Linked DNA regions of Astyanax mexicanus. Each later gene encodes a partner of the first gene's protein in a complex. Links are inferred from orthologs where the notes say so. Each region holds a gene or a part of one and is shown on either strand. Other genes may lie near its edges.

The links.
Region 2: the proteins of pawr (region 1) and spsb1 are in contact, whole or in part, in a crystal structure (PDB 2JK9), measured with the Homo sapiens proteins. The link is inferred for Astyanax mexicanus from reciprocal best matches to the Homo sapiens genes PAWR and SPSB1. Residues at the interface, in NP_001341661.1 of Homo sapiens: Glu68, Leu69, Asn70, Asn71, Asn72, Leu73, Pro74; in NP_079382.2 of Homo sapiens: Arg77, His78, Pro79, Val80, Ala81, Gln82, Gly110, Thr111, Tyr129, Val216, Trp217, Gly218.

The regions. Positions count from the first base shown.
Region 1 is NC_064409.1:25,119,803-25,129,653, forward strand, and holds the start of pawr (PRKC apoptosis WT1 regulator protein), read left to right. Parts: upstream 1-5,738; 5' UTR 5,739-5,890; intron 5,891-9,130; 5' UTR 9,131-9,302; coding exon 9,303-9,788; intron 9,789-9,851. UniProt on the Homo sapiens protein: Pro-apoptotic protein capable of selectively inducing apoptosis in cancer cells, sensitizing the cells to diverse apoptotic stimuli and causing regression of tumors in animal models.
Region 2 is NC_064420.1:36,945,755-36,956,132, reverse strand, and holds the start of spsb1 (SPRY domain-containing SOCS box protein 1), read left to right. Parts: upstream 1-5,411; 5' UTR 5,412-5,665; intron 5,666-10,378. UniProt on the Homo sapiens protein: Substrate recognition component of a SCF-like ECS (Elongin BC-CUL2/5-SOCS-box protein) E3 ubiquitin-protein ligase complex which mediates the ubiquitination and subsequent proteasomal degradation of target proteins.

The DNA.
Region 1 (9,851 bases):
AACAGCTGGTGGGACTGTAGTGAACAGCTTTATTCTGTTGGATACTGCAGTAATTCATTAGCGGACACTGTTCAGGCGCTGAGTGGTGAGAGAACACTCCAGGTTCTTTTTGTCTTCATCTGGTAGGCTGCTATTATTCTCGTTCTGTACACACACTCACACACACACTCACTCACTCTTGAGTCTGTGGTCCAGATGTGCTGCAGCTGGCGCTGGTATGGATTACTGGGCTGAACTGGAGGTATAAACGATATGAAAGCTGAGCCGCTGATGTCAAACAGGATGTCTGCTGATTTATAGCTGTGCTTCATGTATGTAGACACATGTACAGGAGTACAGTATTGGGGCACCTCATATTGATTGATTCTTCTAGACCTGTCTACCAATTTTCCTAGCAACCTAGTAAGTGTGTTTGATGGCCAATGTGTGCGTAGATGTGTGCATTCCCTCTCGCACTGTTTAAATTTGCGATAAAATATGCATTTTTTTAATATTGGGCCGATAATTGTCTGTTCTGCGATGTAGTGTAAAATAAATACTTTTGTACACAGCAGTCTTTCTCAATACTTAATGCTGTAATGTAGCTAACCTAAATCACGTGGTCTAGCTATGAGCATACTGGCCAGTGTTTAACCTCTCTCACACAGAATAACACCTCACAACTTATACAGGTGTGTGCAGCTGTCCCCTGAGGTAACACTTTGTGATTGATTTACTGTAAATACTGCTGTCAGTGTCACTGAAACTCTATGTGACATCTCAGTTCAGTGTTCAGTGCTGTTAATAATTGGTCTCAGATGATGTGCAGAGTTGTAGAGTTGCCCTTTTGCCCTGAGTATGTGATTAATAATAAACTAGCTGAGGTGTGCAAATTGGATAATCTGTGAATAATACGTTTAACAACAACAAAAAAATAACATGTACCCAGTTTTATGCCTCTCAAGCCTTATTCAGAAGGGATTCGTTTCTCAGGGGGTCCTGGGGTAATTTTCTCTTTTATGAGGGGTCTTTTTATTGCCGTCCGGAATGTACATGTGTGTGTTTTTCTCAGACGTACACTGAGAAAGTTACAGGCTGAAAACCCCTTTTTTCGTTTCCACGGAGATCCATGTAAACACATCAGCAAGTGAAAATGGAGGAGCTACTGAACACAGACTGTACAGTGGGCAAGACTGTAACTAGACATGGATATACTTTAGAGTGGTCAGAGGTGAAATAAGTTTTGATAGAGTCATGATGCCCCTCCCATCCAGGAGGGGAAAAAAACACAGCCTGCCCACAGTAAAAACTGATTGACTCACAGACTCTTTGCAGAGAACAGGCCAATCAGAACCCTCTCTGTTTTGCATGCGGTTCATAAATATGCACACAAGGGGAGCTCCTTTCTCCCTTTCCCTCTCTTTCACTCATGCGATTATGGAAAAAAGTCTGTGTCGCGCTGTGTGCGCGTTTGTGTTCACACTTGGGCCACTAGTTCTAGATCTAGTTCTCGAGATTTTTTCTGACTTGCGGGCATCGGGAAGCCATTATTGATATGCTCCCGCAACTTTCAGGAAACTTGGGAAGTCTGGTGTGTACTTGCTGTTTGGCCATAGGTTTGTGCATCGTTTGCATTGTAAATGTAACGGTTCACATACTTCCCTGTGTGCAACATGTGTTAGTGGAGGCTTCCACTAGAGGGCAGCTCAGGCATTAGATGATTGATGGACAAAACACCCCACTGGCTCCACCTCGACTTTATTTCTGCTGCATTTTCTGCGAAATGAGGACATATCTGACACATATATTATCTGTTGCAATGCAACTCAAGTCTGATCAACCAGATTAGAACTCATGCAACTTTTTGATCAAGCATATAAAAAATAAATTTCTGTAGTAGATAGGAAAATGGAGGACAACAGTGAGGGAGGGGTTCAGTGGTAGGATTGTGAGGTACTAGACCTCATAAATATCTGTACGGGTGTCTCTTGTAATTTGGCATTGCCGCAGCATAAAAGGAAACTAAAAAGCTTTAAAAAAAAAAGGAGGCAAACCATAGCTTCTTAGATTCTGGCTAGAAGGAAACTGAAACTTCACATGAAGCACTGTTATGTAGCATCTGCACATTACACAGCGCAGACCAGTGTAAGCTATAGGTCAAATTAAAAAGAAATTGTGTACCCATACAAGTTACATTTACTAGCATTTTATTTGACACAACTAATATAAATATAATTGCATTTTACATATTTTTTGTCTTAAGAAGAACAAGTGCGTTTAATTGCAGATAATCAGAATATTGTTGTGATTAATCTGATTTTTATTGATCGACACCCCAGTACAGACTAAAATAAGGTGATTTTGGCCACTATATGACCTGCTGTGTGAATGAAACCTTAGAGGCTCAAATACACTAAATGTCCAAATGTTTGTTGTGGACACACCTTCTCTTTCTAGTGAATCCATTCTAATACGTTTTTTAAGTAATGTTTATTTGTGCTCATTGCTAACACAGATGCAGATCCAAAGCTTTTCTTGACCCTTTAGAGAAGTACTTCAATAGAATAGGTCTATTCTAGAGTCAAATGTTTTTAAATTCCAGATGTATAAAACATCTTTTAAAAATAATGTGTATTTTTTTAAGTGAATTGGCTACTCTGAGAAAGCCAACGCTGACATACAAACGACTTTTAAAGTGTGTAGAAAACTAACTGATTATTTGAAACTGAATTATTTTTTTAGAAAGGTATGAATCTATTAATTCAGCTTCAGATTCTGTTTCAGGATCCTCTCCAGAACTGTGTTTATAAGGTAAATGGTGATTGTGAGGAGTGAGGGCGGTGTGAGAAAGGGGAAAACCTGTTGGGCAGCTTTACCCGTCGGCTGCTGTCTCCAGGGTGATCCAGCAGGGCAGTGGGTTTAGTGCCCGGCGAGGGCGGGACTACACACTTATCTGCTCCTTTAGAAAGCCGATTGTTGGAATGCTAAGTGGGCTGCAGCTGAAAGGCGAGCCGGGCCGGGCTGGACTGAAAGCCCAGGCTCTGGAGAGCTGTTCTCCTCAGCCTTTCTGAAACCGGGCAGAAAAATGCTAAACATGCAGAATCATGACCTCACTCTTTAGAACACAGGCTATTTATAGAGCACACTCTTTACAACAACCCCTATACTGCTTTATGTGTTAGCCCTTACAAAGAGAATGCTAACAACCCTAAAATTTCATTTTTACACCTTCACCTTCAGTCTACAGTTTCTTACAGTTTCTTACATTTGATTGCAAAGAGTATAAACCCAAAATATTTCATATTTTATTTGCCCAACTTCATTTAATTAATTAGTATTAATATACTTCACATTGATTTCTGCATTTTAGCACCAAAACTCCGACTAATGCCTTTTATAATTTTACTGTGCAGAAAGAAGTCGAAGCCTTATCTTCATCATGTCCAGAAGCACCGTCCACTTCTCTGATGAGGAATATTGGATGAACATCTTTTAAACAGGCTATTGGCTGTTCAATGGGTTCATATGTCTTTGTAAATCTACCCCAAGGAACAAACGGCCACACTGACACTCTCATGGTCTCTTCAGGCATTTCTGGGCAGGCCAAGCCCTTAAAGAACCAGTCTGATAAAGCGTGTGAGGCGGGGCCAGAGTGGAAGAGCCGTTTCCAGCAGGTTAACACTCGTTAGGCCTGCTCTTTCATGTGCTGAAGATGCCTGAGGCCAGGACAACACTCACTGGTAATGAAAATTGCAGCATTATTATAGACTATGAAAACAGCTTGCATTCAGCTAACGCTGCTAGCACTGATTACCCAATCCAGCCCAAGCTTCAGTTGTCTTACCAGTGTACACTTTCCTGCACCAATAACATCACACCATTTCACAGGCCTCCAGGAGCAGTGACAAGAACGTTCAACATTTATTAACACTGCAAAACACCTCACATTGCATCTCTTCACACAGATGCCATTACAACCCCCACACTGTAATATATGCAGTGCTGAAGGAAAGTAACTGGACAAAGTATTAATGTTGAATATGCTGCAAACCTGGCATGCAGTTCTGTCTCAGACAGATATGTAAATGATTACAGGTGAGGACTAATTAGATGCTGGATTTTACCACAAGAGGGCATAAAATGTTTTCCCTTGCTACCCTATAAGAAGGCTCCTAGCAGCTACCTTTGGGTAGTTACCTCTTGGTGAGAGTTTGTTGACTGCTAGACATGCCTCTACAACATGGTAAGCGCTTCAATCCTGCCATTGCTAAAGAGCGACACACTGCCCCAACTGCTGGTGTAATAATCTGGGGAGCATCACATGCAACAGTTAGTCACCCCTAGTAGTGAAACGAGGAACACTTACAGCTCAGCTAAATGCAGGACATCCTGCAGACACACATGTTGCTTACTCTCATGGCTTTTAAATTGCCCTTTTTCAGCAGGATAATGCTCACCCACACACAGCAAGGGTTTCCCAGAAATGTCTTCACAAAATATGCTACACCTTGTCCTGTCCGGACCTGAATTTATGAGAGCACCAATCTAGCATTTACGGGAGCAGCTGGCATGGCAGCTTTAGCAACCTACAAGTATAGGGCAGGATCTACTGGTCCAGCTGCATCATCTGTGGGTAAAGGTGCAGGATGTCATTCGGAACCTGTATACCTACATGTTCAACCGTATCATCATTACAATCACACAGATAAGTATTCTGCTAGCATAAAACATAGCAACACCTAAACAAACACCTAGCAACACCTATACCATAGCACACCTTAGCAACTGCCCAGCAACACCTTAGCAACACCTTACTATACACCTTACTAATACTTTAGCAACCAATTTTTATACCAAGGCAATATCTTACCAAACATCAAGCAAACACTTAGCAAAACCATTGCAACCACCAAAAAAAATATATCCATTCCAAATAAAAATATTGTCATTTAGAGCATTTATTGGCAGAAAATAAGAAATGGCTGCAATAACAAAAAAGATGCAGAGCTTTTAGACCTCAAATAATGCAAAGAAAACATGTTCATATTCATAAAAAAAAATCAATATTTGGTAAATTAACCCTGGTTTTTAATCACAGTTTTAATGCCTCTTGACATGTTTATCTACACCAGTCTTACACACTGCTTTTGGATTCAAGCAATTCAGCTTGGTTTTATGTCTTCAATGTGATCATCCATCTTCCTCTTGATTATAGTCCAGATGTCTGGTTAAATCATAGAAACTAATATTTTAAAAGTGGTCCTTTTTTTTTCAAGAGCTGTATGTTCAAATATTTGCTGACACCCTTCTAATGAACACTACATTTAGCTACTTACCACTCAATGCTAAAAGAGGTGTGCAAATGCACACAGCACAGGTTGCCTAGACCCTGTACATTGCTGCCAATAGAAAAGGACTGTCTGGAGCAAATAAACTAATATAACTAAAATATATATAATCAAATCCTCAGAGCAATGAGTCCAGAATCTAGTAGGAAGTATTCTCTGAACAGTAGAGACAGTATAAATCTATATATATATATATATTTATACAATATATAAAATGTACTCTAAAAAGGAGAATAAACTATTTTTTATTACTCTTGATTTTAGTAGAAACAGTGGATAAACAGCTGTCTCAATACTTTTGGCCATAAGATTTATGTCAAGATCATTTTTTCAACGTTAAGCACAAAACAGCCAATCGTAGCGGAGGAGGGCGTGGCCTGTCGGAGTACGGGTGTGGTGTAAAGCTTTGATCGAACTTTTCGTGTGCGCTCGTGGGTTTCCGTAAAGTGACCGGGAACGCGCGCGCGCTCGAGAGAGAGAGAGAGAGAGCGAGAGAGACTTACTTGGGGAAAGTGAGAGACCGGACTGGTTTACCGTGTGTGTGTCTGCGGGACGGAGAGCAGGTGAGTTACCGGGGCTTGTCTCGTGGTTTAGACGGGTTGGGGGCAGTGTTTCCCGTGGCAGACTGTGGGACGGAGCGCTGCAGTCTCTCCACCGATCCTGGAGCTCCACCTGGGCACAGCCTGCCCCACAGCCCCCGCACAGCGCCCTCAGCCCGGACTCAGCGAGAGGGGGGACCGCTGACTGTGGAGCTGTGTGTGTGTGTGTGTGTGTGTGTGTGTGTGTGTGTGTGTGTGTGTGTGTGTGTGTGTGTGTGTGTTTTGTAAACCTTTAGTGACAACCAACAGGTTAGTGAGAGAATGTGTGTGTGTTGGTAGGTAAGAGAATGTGAAGTTTTAAGACAGCAAGTATGTGTGTTTAGTGGCTGAAGATATGTTTTAACTTCTGTGAAAGAGAGAGATAGAGATAGATAGAGACAGAGTGTGTGTGTGTGTGTGTGTGTGTGTGTGTGTGTGTGTGTGTGTGTGTGTGTGTGATGTTTGTTTGAGTTTAATGCCAACAAGTGTGTGTGTTTGAGAGTTTTGGAATGTGGACCTGTGTTGTGTGTGTGTGTGTATGCGTGTGCCTGTGTGTGTGTTTTCATTTTAAGCATGCATGGCACAATAGAAAACATTTGGTATTAGTTGCTTAATTGAAATTTAAGCATCAGGTAATGCCTGGAATTTGAAAATTGACTAAAATTGATCCGATATTAGAGTATCAACTGATATTGGAATCTGAAATGATACAAGACTGGTATTTAAGCATCACCTGATACAAACAGATATTAGTATTTCAGAATCGAGAGACACAACATGATGTGATATATAAGTATTGTCTAATACCTGTCTGATATTAGACTGTATGAATACTGATCCAATATTGGTTCGCATTTATCCCATATTGGGACGTGATTATCGGTTGATTTTCAGTCTTTGAATTTATATTGGAATTTGGGTATCATCTGTTACTGATCCGCAAGTGGTTTTCTGATCTGATATTGAAATTAGCGTATAATTCAATTCTGGCCCAATATCTGTAATTAAGTTACATATCAGTCTGATATTGGAATTTTAGAATTAGTCTAGTTTAATATGGAGTGTTTGATAGCAGTTTTTTAAATCTACTTTTTACCTGCTTATTGCATATTGGCCAGTTTTGCGTGATCTGATATCTGATTCCAGAATTATCCTCTAATATCTGATCTGTGTCAGACTGGGTATCAGATCTGTGCCATCTACAGTGTTTACCGATAGTTAAGTGTGTATGTGTGTGTTTGCGTGTGTATTATATATACACTATATTGCCAAAAGTATCCACTCGATTGAATTGCGTTTGGTGCTGTAAGGCTTGGAGATGCTCAGCCATATACTGCTGCTCAGCTCTCTACTAAGGCCACATGAAGTTGAGAGGTCTGTACTGATTGGTTCCTTTGTGCACTGTGTTCTTCAGCATCCGCTGACCCCATTCTGTTCAATTTGTTTCCAGTTGCTTCTATTTTGTTATAATATCACAGTTGGCTGTGGAATATTTAGTAATGAAGAAATTTCACAATTGGACACAGGTGCTGCATTCTATCACATTACCACACTGGAATTAACTGAGCTCCTGAGAGAGACCGATTTTTTCACTAATGTTTGTAGAAGCAGTCTACATGCCTTTATACACCTGTGATTGTGATTGGAACCTGTGTTCAATGATTTGGATGGGTGAGAGTATACTTTTGGCATTATAGTGCATACAGTATTTATTTTGTTTTTGCTTTTTTGTCATACTGATATTTTTCTGATTATCAAACAAACATTATATCACACAAAGTTAACCTGAGTAAGTATAAAAAGCACTTTTAAAATAATAATGTCATTTATTAAAGGAAAACTGTCCAAACCAATCTAGCCCTGTGTGAAAAAGTGTTTGCTCCCTAAACCTAATTTCTTCTAATAACATGGTTGGGCCACCCTTGGCGGCAACAACTGCAATCAAGCTTTACCGATTACTGGCTATGAATCTTTCACTTCTCTTTTTGGTGTTTGGAATTTTGTTCAACTTTTGTTTGCAGAATTGTTTTATTTCAGCCACATTGAAGAATTTTCGAGCATAAACAGCCTGTTTAAGGTCATCCATAGCATCTCAATCAAGCTTTGACTAGGCCATTCCAAAACTGTAATTTAAGCAATTCAGAGGTGGACTTGTTAATTGTCCTGCTGCAGAACCCAAATACGCCTAAGCTTGAGGTCATGAAATGATGCCCAGACATCATCTTTTAGGATTTTCTGGTAAACAGCAGAATTCCAGGTTACATCTATTACAGCAAGTTGTCCAGGACCTGAAGCAGAAAAGCAACCCAGACCATCACACTAACACCACCATGTTTTACATTAAGCATGATGTTCATTTTCTGAAATTATGTGTTAGTTTTTACGCGAGATGTAACAGGACACACACCTTCCAAAAAGTTCCACGTCAGTCCAAATAATATTTACCCAAAATCCTGGGGATCATCAAAATGTTTTATATGAAATGGGCCATTTTGTTTTTTTGGTCAGCAATGTTTTTTGCCCTGGAACTCTCCCAGTTTCCTTATTATTAATGAATCATTAACACTGACCTTAACGGAGGCAAGTAAGACCTGCAGTTCTTTAACTGTTGTTCTGGGTTCTTTTGTAACCTCCTGGATGAGTTGTCCATGCCCTTTTTATAATAATTTTGGTCAGCTGGTCCCCCCTGGGAAGGTTCACCTGTGTTTTATGTTTTCTTAATTTTTGTGAATAATAGCTCTCACTGTGGTTCGCTGGAGTCCCAAAGCCTTAGAAATGATTGTGTAACCTTTTCCAGACTGATAGATGAACAATGACTTTGTTTTCTGATCTGTTTTTGAATTTCTTCAGATTGGGTCATAATATATTGCTTTTTGATATCTTTTGTTTGCTTCATTTTTTCAAACAGGTTCTATTTAAGTGATTTCATGATTGTATAGATCTGGCAGTAACCAGGCCTGGTTGTGGTTTGTAAAATTGAAGACAGCTTTCCAAAAAGTGTGATTAATCACAGTTATTTTATGGGGTGGAAGGGTTGACAAAAAATGCCAAAACAAAAGAAGTCTGAAAGGGGGCAAATACTTTTTCCCACCACTGTATGTGTGTTTACTGTGATCATGTGACCATCACAGTGTGTTTATCTCCAGTTGGCTGCTGTGTGTGTAATCAGTGACAGCAGACTGTGTGTTTGTGTGTATGTATGTGTGTGCATGTGTGTGTTTCCAGGCTTCCCTTTTCTGCTCCTGTTACTGTGTGGAGGAATGTGGCGTTCCTGATCCAGAGAGGAAGGTGAAGTCCGTCCTGCTTAATTTTTTTCGGAGCTGAAAACAAAGCAGAAGCGAAACCTTCTGAGCCAGGAAAAGCCAGCAAAAAGAACCGGTCCGAAAGAGGGACGAGCATGGCATCCGGCGGGTTCAAAGCCAATGCTGCCACGGATTTCTTGGAGGAGTGGAAGGCTAAGCGAGAGAAGATGAGGGCCAAGATGCTGGGGGACATTGCCGCGGCGACCGGGCAGTGCCCACCTTCCGGCCTGCAGGTCACGGGCAGCACCGGCACCAAACCCCCAGAACCGAGCAACAACGGAAACTCTGCGGCCGTGAACTGCGTGGCCTATCCGGTTGTTCGGTCTTCCTCCTCTTCTGCTCTGAGGAGGCCCGAGGATGATCCCAACTCCAGGCCAGCCGAGACGCCTATTAAAAAGGAGCCCAGCCCCCCTGCTGCCACCGCCTGCCCGGACAGCGATAAGGAGAGCCCCCCGCACGGGAAAGGCAAGGAGAAGAAAAGCTCTGGACCCAGTGCCAGAAAGGGAAAAGGTCAAATAGAGAAACGGAAGCTGCGGGAAAAGAGGAGGTCAACCGGGGTCGTCAGCATACCGTCAAATGAGGTAAGTTTAACCTGCTTTATGTTATTGGCCTGAAACTCTTGGCCTTGAGTGTGTCTGGTTTCA
Region 2 (10,378 bases), on another chromosome or scaffold:
GTAAAAATGTGTACGTCTTCAGGGTGATTCTCAAGATATATGCATCATACTATATCCTACATTAGCAGATGATATGGCCATATGGGTATAGCAATAATATGACCTAGAGCATGGTTTAATTCATGTCAGCACATATTTAAAGTATGCTACCTTTCACCCCACATTAAGCTGTGCGTTACTCTCCCCTTTATCAACTAACTGCCAAGCAAATCACATCTGATCTCATTCATATTCATTCCTTATGAGAGTATAAGAGCAATCTTAAGGCTATTGCTGCTTGTGAGTGCAGTGGTAGACACAAGGAGGCAGTAAAGTGCTTTTCCTGCAGTCCATCCACACACTGCCAAGAGCTGAAACTACACAACTAATCCTGTGCTTTATTATATATAGTTGGCCCCTCTAGCGTGAGTATCTTTTGCATAAGAAAGTGATCTGTTAAGAAAAGTTGCACCCTATACTGTTTCAATCCCTCAGTTTTACTTTCAGCTAGAGCTTTGCTAGAGTGGTTGTCAGAGTGGATCAGACATAAAATATGAAAAACAAAATGATTTACACAAAATATAATACTGCTGTTATGTCCACTCATTTTTTTTATGTAGCGAAACCTGATATACGAGTGTATCTCCACGTTTTGACAGGCATGGGTCTGTAGAAAATAACTGCGGTCTGCACTGTAGACATGTAAATCAGCCCCCTGTGAGGCTTTTAAAGCTGATAAAATATCTGGTTGAGGGGATTTACTGTCAATGCAATATTTCTCCACCGCGTACAGTGCACACACTCTGTGACTCAATAACAAGAGAGAGTGGATTAGTGCAAATGTTTGGGGGTGACAATGAGATTACCTCATGTTAAATTTCCTTTTGGCATGGCACAATTCACACTCGCATACCTCCAGCTCCAAATCCATTTGTGAAAAGAAAGAGGGGCTTGTGTGGAGCTCTCTGGAGGCTCCAATGTGGAAACATGGTGAATGAGTCACCTCGAGCTGAGCTGGCAGCTGCTGGAGGTCTCTGCTTGTTGTGTGGTGGCGATGGAGGCGTCCAAAGCCACAGTTGACCCAACAGAAGGGCCGTGGAGCTGGAGCGAGTTCCTCTGCTGCTTTAAGGCTACAGGTACTTGCCTGTTCTAAAGACTGGCACAAATAGGAGAATCTTATGGGCTTTAAAAAATAATGAGGCCCTCTATGCAAACATGACCTTTAATTGCTTCAAAATGAATGTTCTTGTTTATTCACTAGTGCTCGGCCTTATCCACAGTGTTCTAATAAGTGCTAATTAATGCATAGTTTAAAAAGGCTTTAATCAAGGAAAACTAAATTGGATAAGGTTTTGCGATTGTATGAAAACATGTTTCAAAAGTGTATTGGCCTTAATTATGCATTTAATAATTGAGAATAATTATAAAAATAATTCATACATCAATTTTCCTAACCATGTGGGGTTAGAATACTCCCTGGACATGGCACCAGTCAATTGCTGGGTTCCACACACACATTTTACTCACACCTAGGGGCAATTTAGCACAGGCAATTCATCCACCATCTTTGTCTTTGGGAGGTGGGAAGAACACAATGTACCTGAAGGAATTTCCAAAAGTGGACACATTAAGAAAACACCAAAATCCTCACAGAGAGAGACCAGAGTAAGAATTGAACCCACATCCCCAGACCCCTGGAGCAGTGTGGCGCACACACTGCCTGCCTCCTAAAATAAAAGAAAAAAAATCTACAGTGAATAAAATACTTATTTGATCCCTTGCTGATTTTGTCTGTTTGCCCACTGACAAAGACGGCCTTAGAAAGCTCTTTGGCCTTGCCCATGTTATAGAGGTTGGAGTTTGACTGATCAAATGAGTCTTTGAACAGGAGTCTTTTATACAGATGACAACTTAAGACAGGTGTCTTTAATGCAGGTAGTATCAAGTTGATTAGCAGCGTCTAACTGGTCTGTAGGAGACAGAACTCTTAATGGTTGGCAGGAGATCAAATACCCATTTCTCTCTGCAAAATGCAAATGAATTTACATAATTTCTGCAATGTGATTTTTGTGGATTTTATCTCCAACTGTTAAATTAACCTACTCTTAAAATTTTGTCTTTCTTCACTGTGCATGTATTCAACTTTTTAGTATATACCAAATATTGAGTTTTCACTTCAAGAACTTGCTGTTCGGATGGATGGATTGATGGATTGATGGATTGATGGATGGATGGATGGATGGATGGATGGAAAGATACTTTATTCATCCCAAAGACAAATTCTGGAATCAATATCACTACATAATATTGTTGCTCTCAGACAAAAGACCTGTATCTGCAAAATGGTAACTTTACGGAAAAAGTAAAAAAAAACTTGTTCAGCATGACATGTTGAGACAATGTAAAAAAGAGAACACCTAGACATAGCTGATCATTTAATGTAACTTATATCTTTTCTTATTTGGTGTCCTATATCATGCTCAATAATGGTGGAGATAAATTAAATTGACTACACAAAAATGGAAAAATTAAAAATAGATATTTTCTCCACTTACATCCTACACACATCTCAAATAGACTGTAAAGTAAATGATACAATTTGTTATTTTATCTAATTAAATGTTTACATACTACTATTTATATTTTATATTAGATTTTCCATGATAAATGGCCTTCAAGTGTTTAAGAAGACTACTCAGAGTCAATGGCGGGAAGTTGCAAAAGTAGCACGCTGAGGGTAACAATAAAACTGGTGGTCCAGCAGCCACAAACCATCACTCATTCCCATGCTATGAGACCCATTGTAATTGCCCTTTCTGCACAGATTCCAAGTACACAAAGTTCTGTGTCATTACAAGCTGTTCAGTATGCCTTTGATGTGCTGCCCTTCTGCTGGTCTTGGTGTAACATGATGTTCTGGTAATGTTTGGTGTCCTTTTAGACGTATTACTTACAAAAAAAGCACACAAGGTAACAGCAAAGCTTGATAGTTGCTCCTCCAAGCAAAACTCATCTGGTTCTTGTAGCAGTCCACTTGAGCTGGTTCTCACAGCTGGCTCCAGACGGCTTCCTGAAACGAGAAGGGCAGCTGGGTTGTGGTAAGGTTGTACGGCTGATTGCGTATGACATCTTTATGGTTGATCAAGGGTACCGTGTCTTCAGAGCTCCGGGGCTGCAGGAGAAGGTTGTAAAGAATGTGTTTTCTTGTTTTCATGCAAGAGATCTAAGCTGTTCTTGGCCCAATTCTGTAAAACTCTGTAAGATTCTATAAAAGTTGTGCAACCCAAGCTTGTGTGCCACAGCAGAACGTTATAAAAGTGGAACATCATTATTTGGATATGAAAAGGAGTATCCAAGCAAGTGCCCCCAACAAATAAACCGCACTGAATGAAATATGGGAACGAAGCTTGTTCAAACATGGGCATGTTATTGTTTCAAATGAGTTGAGCAACCGTGCAGATTGGATCATTTCAAGTCAGAGGAGGTGTGTACGGCCAGAGCGAACACAAGGGGACAGTAAAGCCTTTTTACAACACACAGCTCCCCTGATGCCGCTTGCTCTCAACACTGCTCAGCATTATTGCAGTAAGCTACTGCTTATTCAGACCTCAGTCCTCCTCATCACAGCTTATTGTTTCATCCAGTGTTTCACACTTAGCTCTGCCAAATCGAGGCGTTCTGTTTTTTTCTCTATACAAAATGAGACACTTGTAACCGGGAGGTTTGGCCAGAGAGGTGTGTGTAATTGTGAAAGGGTTGCGGATGAGTTCAGCTTGTCTCCAGACGGCTGAGGTTGTTAATAAGCCCGGCTGTGTGTTGAATCATATGGAAAGCAGCCACTCGGTCTACACGAAGGAGGTTCAGTGAGTCAACCCACAGAGAGTACATCTAGACAGGTGGTCAGAAACTCAGCAGGCAGTTAGGCAGTCATCACAGAAGTGGAAGTGTTCTGATAAACCTGGAGCTAAACAGGATACAGGCCTTCTGTCTGCTTCAAGTGAACGTATTAAAGTAGACAAATTACCCTAACATGTCAAATATCATTGGATTGGAATGGTTCATAATTTGATCGTAACATGGCTTGGAAATGCCAACAGCAGTATAAGTTGTATTAGTGTTTATTGTAGGTGAGGCTGAACTATGGCCAGTGTGAACATGGCATGGCGACATTAATTAAAGGGGCTCAAGTGAAGCCATCTAATTCTGATCCTGCTATCAGAACTTTAGATTTCTCAGACCATGCTACATTTTTCCTGTCTTCTACATTTCAGTTTTGGTGATTCTGTGCCCACTGAAGCTTCAGCTTTCTGTTCTTGGCTGACAGCAAACATCCCCTCCTGAAGACAGTACAAAATGCTTAACATTGCTTCATAATGACATGCACATTCTCTGAAATTGAATCTTTATATTATTGATATAGTAGGAAATATATATTTATATTTAATATTATATAATATTAATATTTAATATATAATATAATATATAATATTAATATTAATATTTAATAAATTTATATATTTAATATATATATATATTTATTTACTATTGGCATATAATGCATTACATTGTTTGATTGTTGATCAACTAGCTTTATATATAGACTTAATATTTGTAGGGTAAAGTGAAGGTGATTGGGACCGATTTTGAACCAAACAAATGATCCATTTCTGTAATATTTTCGATAAGGTTACCATTGAAATTATTACTAGATGATCTGCAGTGTCACCGAGTTTGATGAAGCTCCTCATCACTGAGTGAATCAAGCGATCAAGGTGATAAGAAGACCATGCTGCTCCCATTCTGCCTTTCACTCTGAAAACTTTCCCTTCTATAATAATATATAATATAATAGTATAATTTTTATTTTTTAACTGCTCACAATACTTTAGCACAAAAAATGTTGAGTACTTCAGTACTTAGGTGTGGTGCTTAAAGAACACTTCACCTTCTATTCAAGTCACTTTATTGATTTAGCAAATGTACTTTTACTCAAGTCTGGGTCTCTAGTACTTTATACATGTCTGCTTCACTGAAGATTCAAACAGGAGACATTTGGTGTATACATATCTATACTAAACTTGAAATGAGAAAGGGTGAGTGTGGGAAACAGCAAAGCAGCAGAGGTGCTGTCACCACTCACCAAACAAGCGCATAAAATTAAACACCAGGGGGATTTAGGGACAAACTGTTCCTAAATAATTCCAGAGCAGATCCTGTTCCACACAAATATGCATAAACACACAGCTAAGCACATTAGCATTTAAACATAACCCAGGACGAAGCTATCTAGAGAAACAACAGGGTAAATGTAAGCTAGCACAGTAGGCACTTCCTATGCTAACCTCATGTTCACACATCAGCTGATGAGCAGTGTTTAGAGCAACAGGCTACTGAGAGCCAGTGCAGCTGGGAAGGAGGGAAGGAGGGAAGAAGAGAGAGGGAGGGAGGTTCCTAGCAGCTGGGAGCTATTTTACCACGTGACAGCAGGGCTGTTTGTAGCAGCCATCATATTACCCAACACAAGCCCAACCTAAAAAAGGAGAGGAGCAGAGAGAAGCAGAGGGACGAGGCGGAGAGAGAGAGTCATGGCTTTGCACAGGAATACCGTTTGAAAGAAGCTCCTGTCTCCGCCGCTTTGCCTTGGTTCAGCTAGCCTGTGTAGTCTACGTGAAGTTCAGGTAAGCCTGTGAGTCTGTTGCTTTGTCTTTTTCACACATTTTGGGGCTTTTGTTTGGAGTGGATGTGCTCATGTAGTCTCGCATATCGAGCTAGCTAGGTTACCTACCCGTGTGTTTTTAACGGCAGACGCTGTGTGGTAAGCTAGCTAGCGTTATTTAGCTTCAGGCACACAGGAACCCATTGAACCTGCTATAGACAAAACATTGAGGAAATTAGACTAGCTGGCGTTAGCTATGTTAGATTAAAAAGTCGTGTTTTAAATGATATAAAGGATTAGTCTGTTGCATCCTTACGTAAAGCAGGGGAAACGTGTCGTTAGATATTGTATTTTCGCTAGGTTAACTAGCTGGCTACAGGTAACAGCTGGTTAATTAGCTAACTAGCAAGGTAACGGTTAGCTTAGCTAGCTACCTAGCTTAGTTAACTAGCCATTTAACCTGGCAACATGAGGCCTTATTAACCACTACTTGTTTAATTAATGTAGGTTAAGCTAGAGTAATATGTTTGTAAGGTTATGTTTAGCTAGTTAACGCAGTGTCTTTGCTTCAATATGTTGGCTGCCCTACGCATATTAATCTATGTTAACTACATATATATAAATAAATAAATAAATGTTAGCTATAATAAAAAAATATAACGTTATATAAATAAGGGACCACTTCAGTGTCTGAATCAGTTTCTCTGATTTTACTCTTCATATGTATATGTTTGAGTAAAATGAACATTGTTATTTTATTTTATAAACTACGGACAACATTTCTCCCAAATTCCAAATAAAATATTGTCATTTAGAGAATTTATTTGCAGAAAATGAAAAATGGCTGAAATAACAAAACAAAAAAAGTTGCAGAGCTTTCAGACCAAAATCTCAAGCAGTTAAACTTTGTTCTTCCTCTTGATTATATTCCAGAGGTTTTCAATTTGGTAAAATCAAAGTAAAACATCAAGTGTTGCAAACACACACACACACACACACACACACACACACACACACACACACACACACACACACACACACACACCATAGCTAGTGTAACTCTTACGTTACTGTTAATCTAACGAGATTATACAGTGTATCCCAGCCTGTGCCGAATAATATGCCTCTGTTTGAACACTAGCTAGTCAGCTAGCTAGCTAGCTAATCTAGGCTGATTAGCTTTAGTTAACCTAGCAACATAAGGGCAGTTCACAGCCATAGTAACCGCTGTTTGTTTAAAACGAGATGGGTTAAGCTAGGCTAAAACTCTCTATAGCATAGACGTTGTAGCTAGCAATGTTTGTTGTTTCTTCAGTGTTTCCTCAGCCTGTGCCCCATAGATAGCTTAGCTAACCGCTAGCTAACGTTGCTTCTCACACACACACACAAAGCCTGCTGTGAACGTGGGCCACCATTTCAGTTTCATTTTTAGTGTCAGACTGTGGGATGTTTTGTCTCACAGTAGCCCATATGTAGACTGTTAGCGTTAACCGCTAGATAAACAAGACTGCTGATTAACCAAGCCTGGATTTAACTACCGCCATAATCTTAAAACAAGCTAACTAGCTTGCTAGCTAATATCCTGTTGTGGTGTATCTTGGTGCAGTGTGTTTAGCTAGCTAACCTATATGTAGCAATATGTGTTTACCATTAAATGTACTCCAGCTTTGTAACTACTATTATTTTTCTACAGTTCAGTTTACTTTAATGTACTCTTTGCTGACCTCCTGCAGACTCTATGGCTAGTTATGAAATAAAAGCATGTTACAGCTCACAAACTGCCTTGTAGTCTCACAGCAAGCAACTAGCTTGTTATATAGACTGAGATTCAGTCGTTCTAGTTAATTGTTCACAATATTTTGTTCTAGAAATCAGGTCAGAACTAGTTATAAGGAACCTAATGTTTTAATAAAGCATTTTAAATAGTTCAAATTATTGGAACAGAGCAGTAGAAGCAAAAACAAATACAAATACTCTATACTCTACTTTAAAAGAGCTAGTTTTATCCTTGGCCATAACCCAGTACCCTTACATGTTAGAAAATAAGATGAACAAAAGCACATGTATGCCCTGTCCTGTCTTTTCTTCCTCAGTTAAAAGGCTGTAAGGAACTTTCCACATTTATATTGAAAAACATTCTTTAAACTGACCTCTTAAAGACTTTATTGTGCCTTTTAACATGGGGAAAACCTTTTGTGAGGTTTAGGCATTTTTCCCTGTGATTTTCATGTTAACCTAGCTTTTTAGCTAGCTAGTAAGCAAGCAGTATGATGTTTGTTTAAACTAACGTATCACACTGAAAAAAAGGGGGTTTGCAGGATATTTTTTGAAGAAAGCTTGTGTTCTGATCATGTTAACCTTAGCCAGGCTTGATAACAGCTGCTCTAGGAAAGCAGCCAGGTTGTGGTTTCCTCCTGTAGTTCAGCACATCTTGCCCCTTCTTTCATTTTAAGTACTGGCCAATCTTTTCATGCACTGTTTGAAGTTCTAACCTCAGGAGCAGGAACCAGCAAAGTGTTTCTGTCTGAACTGAAGTGGGGTTGTTTAGGGGCACACATGGAAAGAGATCCACTGCTAGCTAGGTCACCAAGCTGCAGTTCAGTTCAGTGCAGCTTTTTTTGGCTCCCCCCAGATAACATGAGCCCACTGGGCCCTGTAAGGGTAGCCCAAATGGGAACCAGATAATTGTCCAAATTTCGTCCATTGTTGTCCATGTGGATGCCTGACACCGATGACTGGGTTGAGCACCTAACATGGTACCTTTGTGAGATTAAGTTGGGCTGTAATGGTCATGAGCAATTTGGAAAGCCAGTTGGGTCCCAGTAGCAACACGCGTACACACCCTCTCAGAACACACACAATGTTCCATCATCGTGAGCCCCACATGAGCATGTTGGCTCGATTACTAGTGCATTTAGCAATGTGGGCCTGTAAGATTCTTGACTAAGCTGTTTGTGTTCAGTGGGTGCTGATATGAGTTCTGTTACAGGGAGATTTTATCAGTGGAGAATATTGAGAAAGAGGAAGTACTGCATATGATGCAAAAAAAAAAAAACACTATAATTGAGTATATATTCTAATCAATAGTCATTTGCTTTCATTTGTGTCTCTACCCAGTGCCAACACAACAAGATAGCCAGACAGCATTTGCTTGATGCAAAAGCTCTGCAGATTTGCATGACACTTAGCTAGTTGAGGTTGTGGGGGTGTGCAACTTTGCCTCAGATTTGGACTTACTGGTATTGCAGTTATGCTCAGTTCATGATGGGTTTACTGACACTTTCTTCACAATTGACTGTGTGATGCACAGGACCTTGTTTGAAACTAGCTTTGAGAAGGTTTTGTTAATAAACATGTGTACACCCGTCAGCTATAATCAATGAAACCACTAATTGGTAAAGTAAATAACATGTGATTATCTCATTACAAAGGCACAGTGGCAAATGGTAAGAGATATAGGGTGGCTAGAGAACAGTCACTTCTTGAAGTTCTCGTGCCTTTTAAAGGGTTACATTGACTGTTGATTGGCTAATGTCTCTTCTGTTTGGTAAGCAATTTAATCATCCACTTCTAGCAGGTTGGTCATGATGTAAAAATTGCTTCTGTTTTAGTAATTAGAGAGAGCAAACAGTGATTTAATCTCATTTGTCCATCTGTGCCCTGACTGATGCCCAGAAACCTGAATGCTCAAAGCCATTTGGATCCATGTGAGTGACAACTAGCACACAGTGTCCTGGTGTTGACTTAGCTCAGTAGTTTGTGAAGTTGTTTTGGCTTAAGTGTTGCTTTCAAGCGTATGGGAACAGACAGTACCTTGAAGTGGGTAAATGTGGGACCCGGCAGTGCTCAGGGTCTGTACCAATCCTACAACAAAGGGGCTTGTACTCATTCATGCTCACAGGTGCCAATTATTTACAAAACTGATTTCATTCTTAAGTGCCAAATGGATCTGCAGTGCTGTGTATGTACTTGCACTGTTACAGAGGCAGGCTTATGTCAGCTCACTTGCAGTTTTTGCATTCATACACTAGTACATGCACTGTGGGATTTGTGTAGTGTGCTGAAAGACCTTTAGTCACAGATTTATGCACATTTGAATCCTTTTGATTTGAGTCACTGTAGTTTTAACAAAGGAATTGATTAACTGCAGGGAAGGAGAAATGCAAACATAGGACATTTTTTTAGGAGCGCATGCAACCTAATAATGAAAACGTTAATTTATTTGCTACGCAATATTATCAGGTTTTCACATCAGTCTTTTACCTAAGAGAGGTCGATAAGGTAACAGAGGTAGCCTACTGTGTGTGAGGACTAGCTTCAGTGTAAAATGTTGAAAATTTACAATTAAATTCCTGCGTGTGTAAAATGACAGCTAAGACCTTGTTGGATTGGATTACTTTAAAAGTCTGTAGATATCCCCTCAGCTATTGCATCTAAACAGATGACATCAGAGGACAAGGAAGATAAGTAAATGTGAGAGTACTAAATGTACTGGAACACCTGCTTATTCATTTTCATAATAAACTCTATTCATGTTAATCTATTTTTATTTGTGGATAAAAAGTTATCCTACTTTTGTTAAAGCAACTATATCTACTGTTCAAGGAGATCTACTAGGGTTTAAAGCATTGCTCTGAGGATCTGATAATTGCACATTCGTGAGGTCAGGATGTTGGATGATCACCATCTTAACTTATTTGAATTTGAATAAATCAACATAGTACTGGTGTTGGTGGCTCAAGT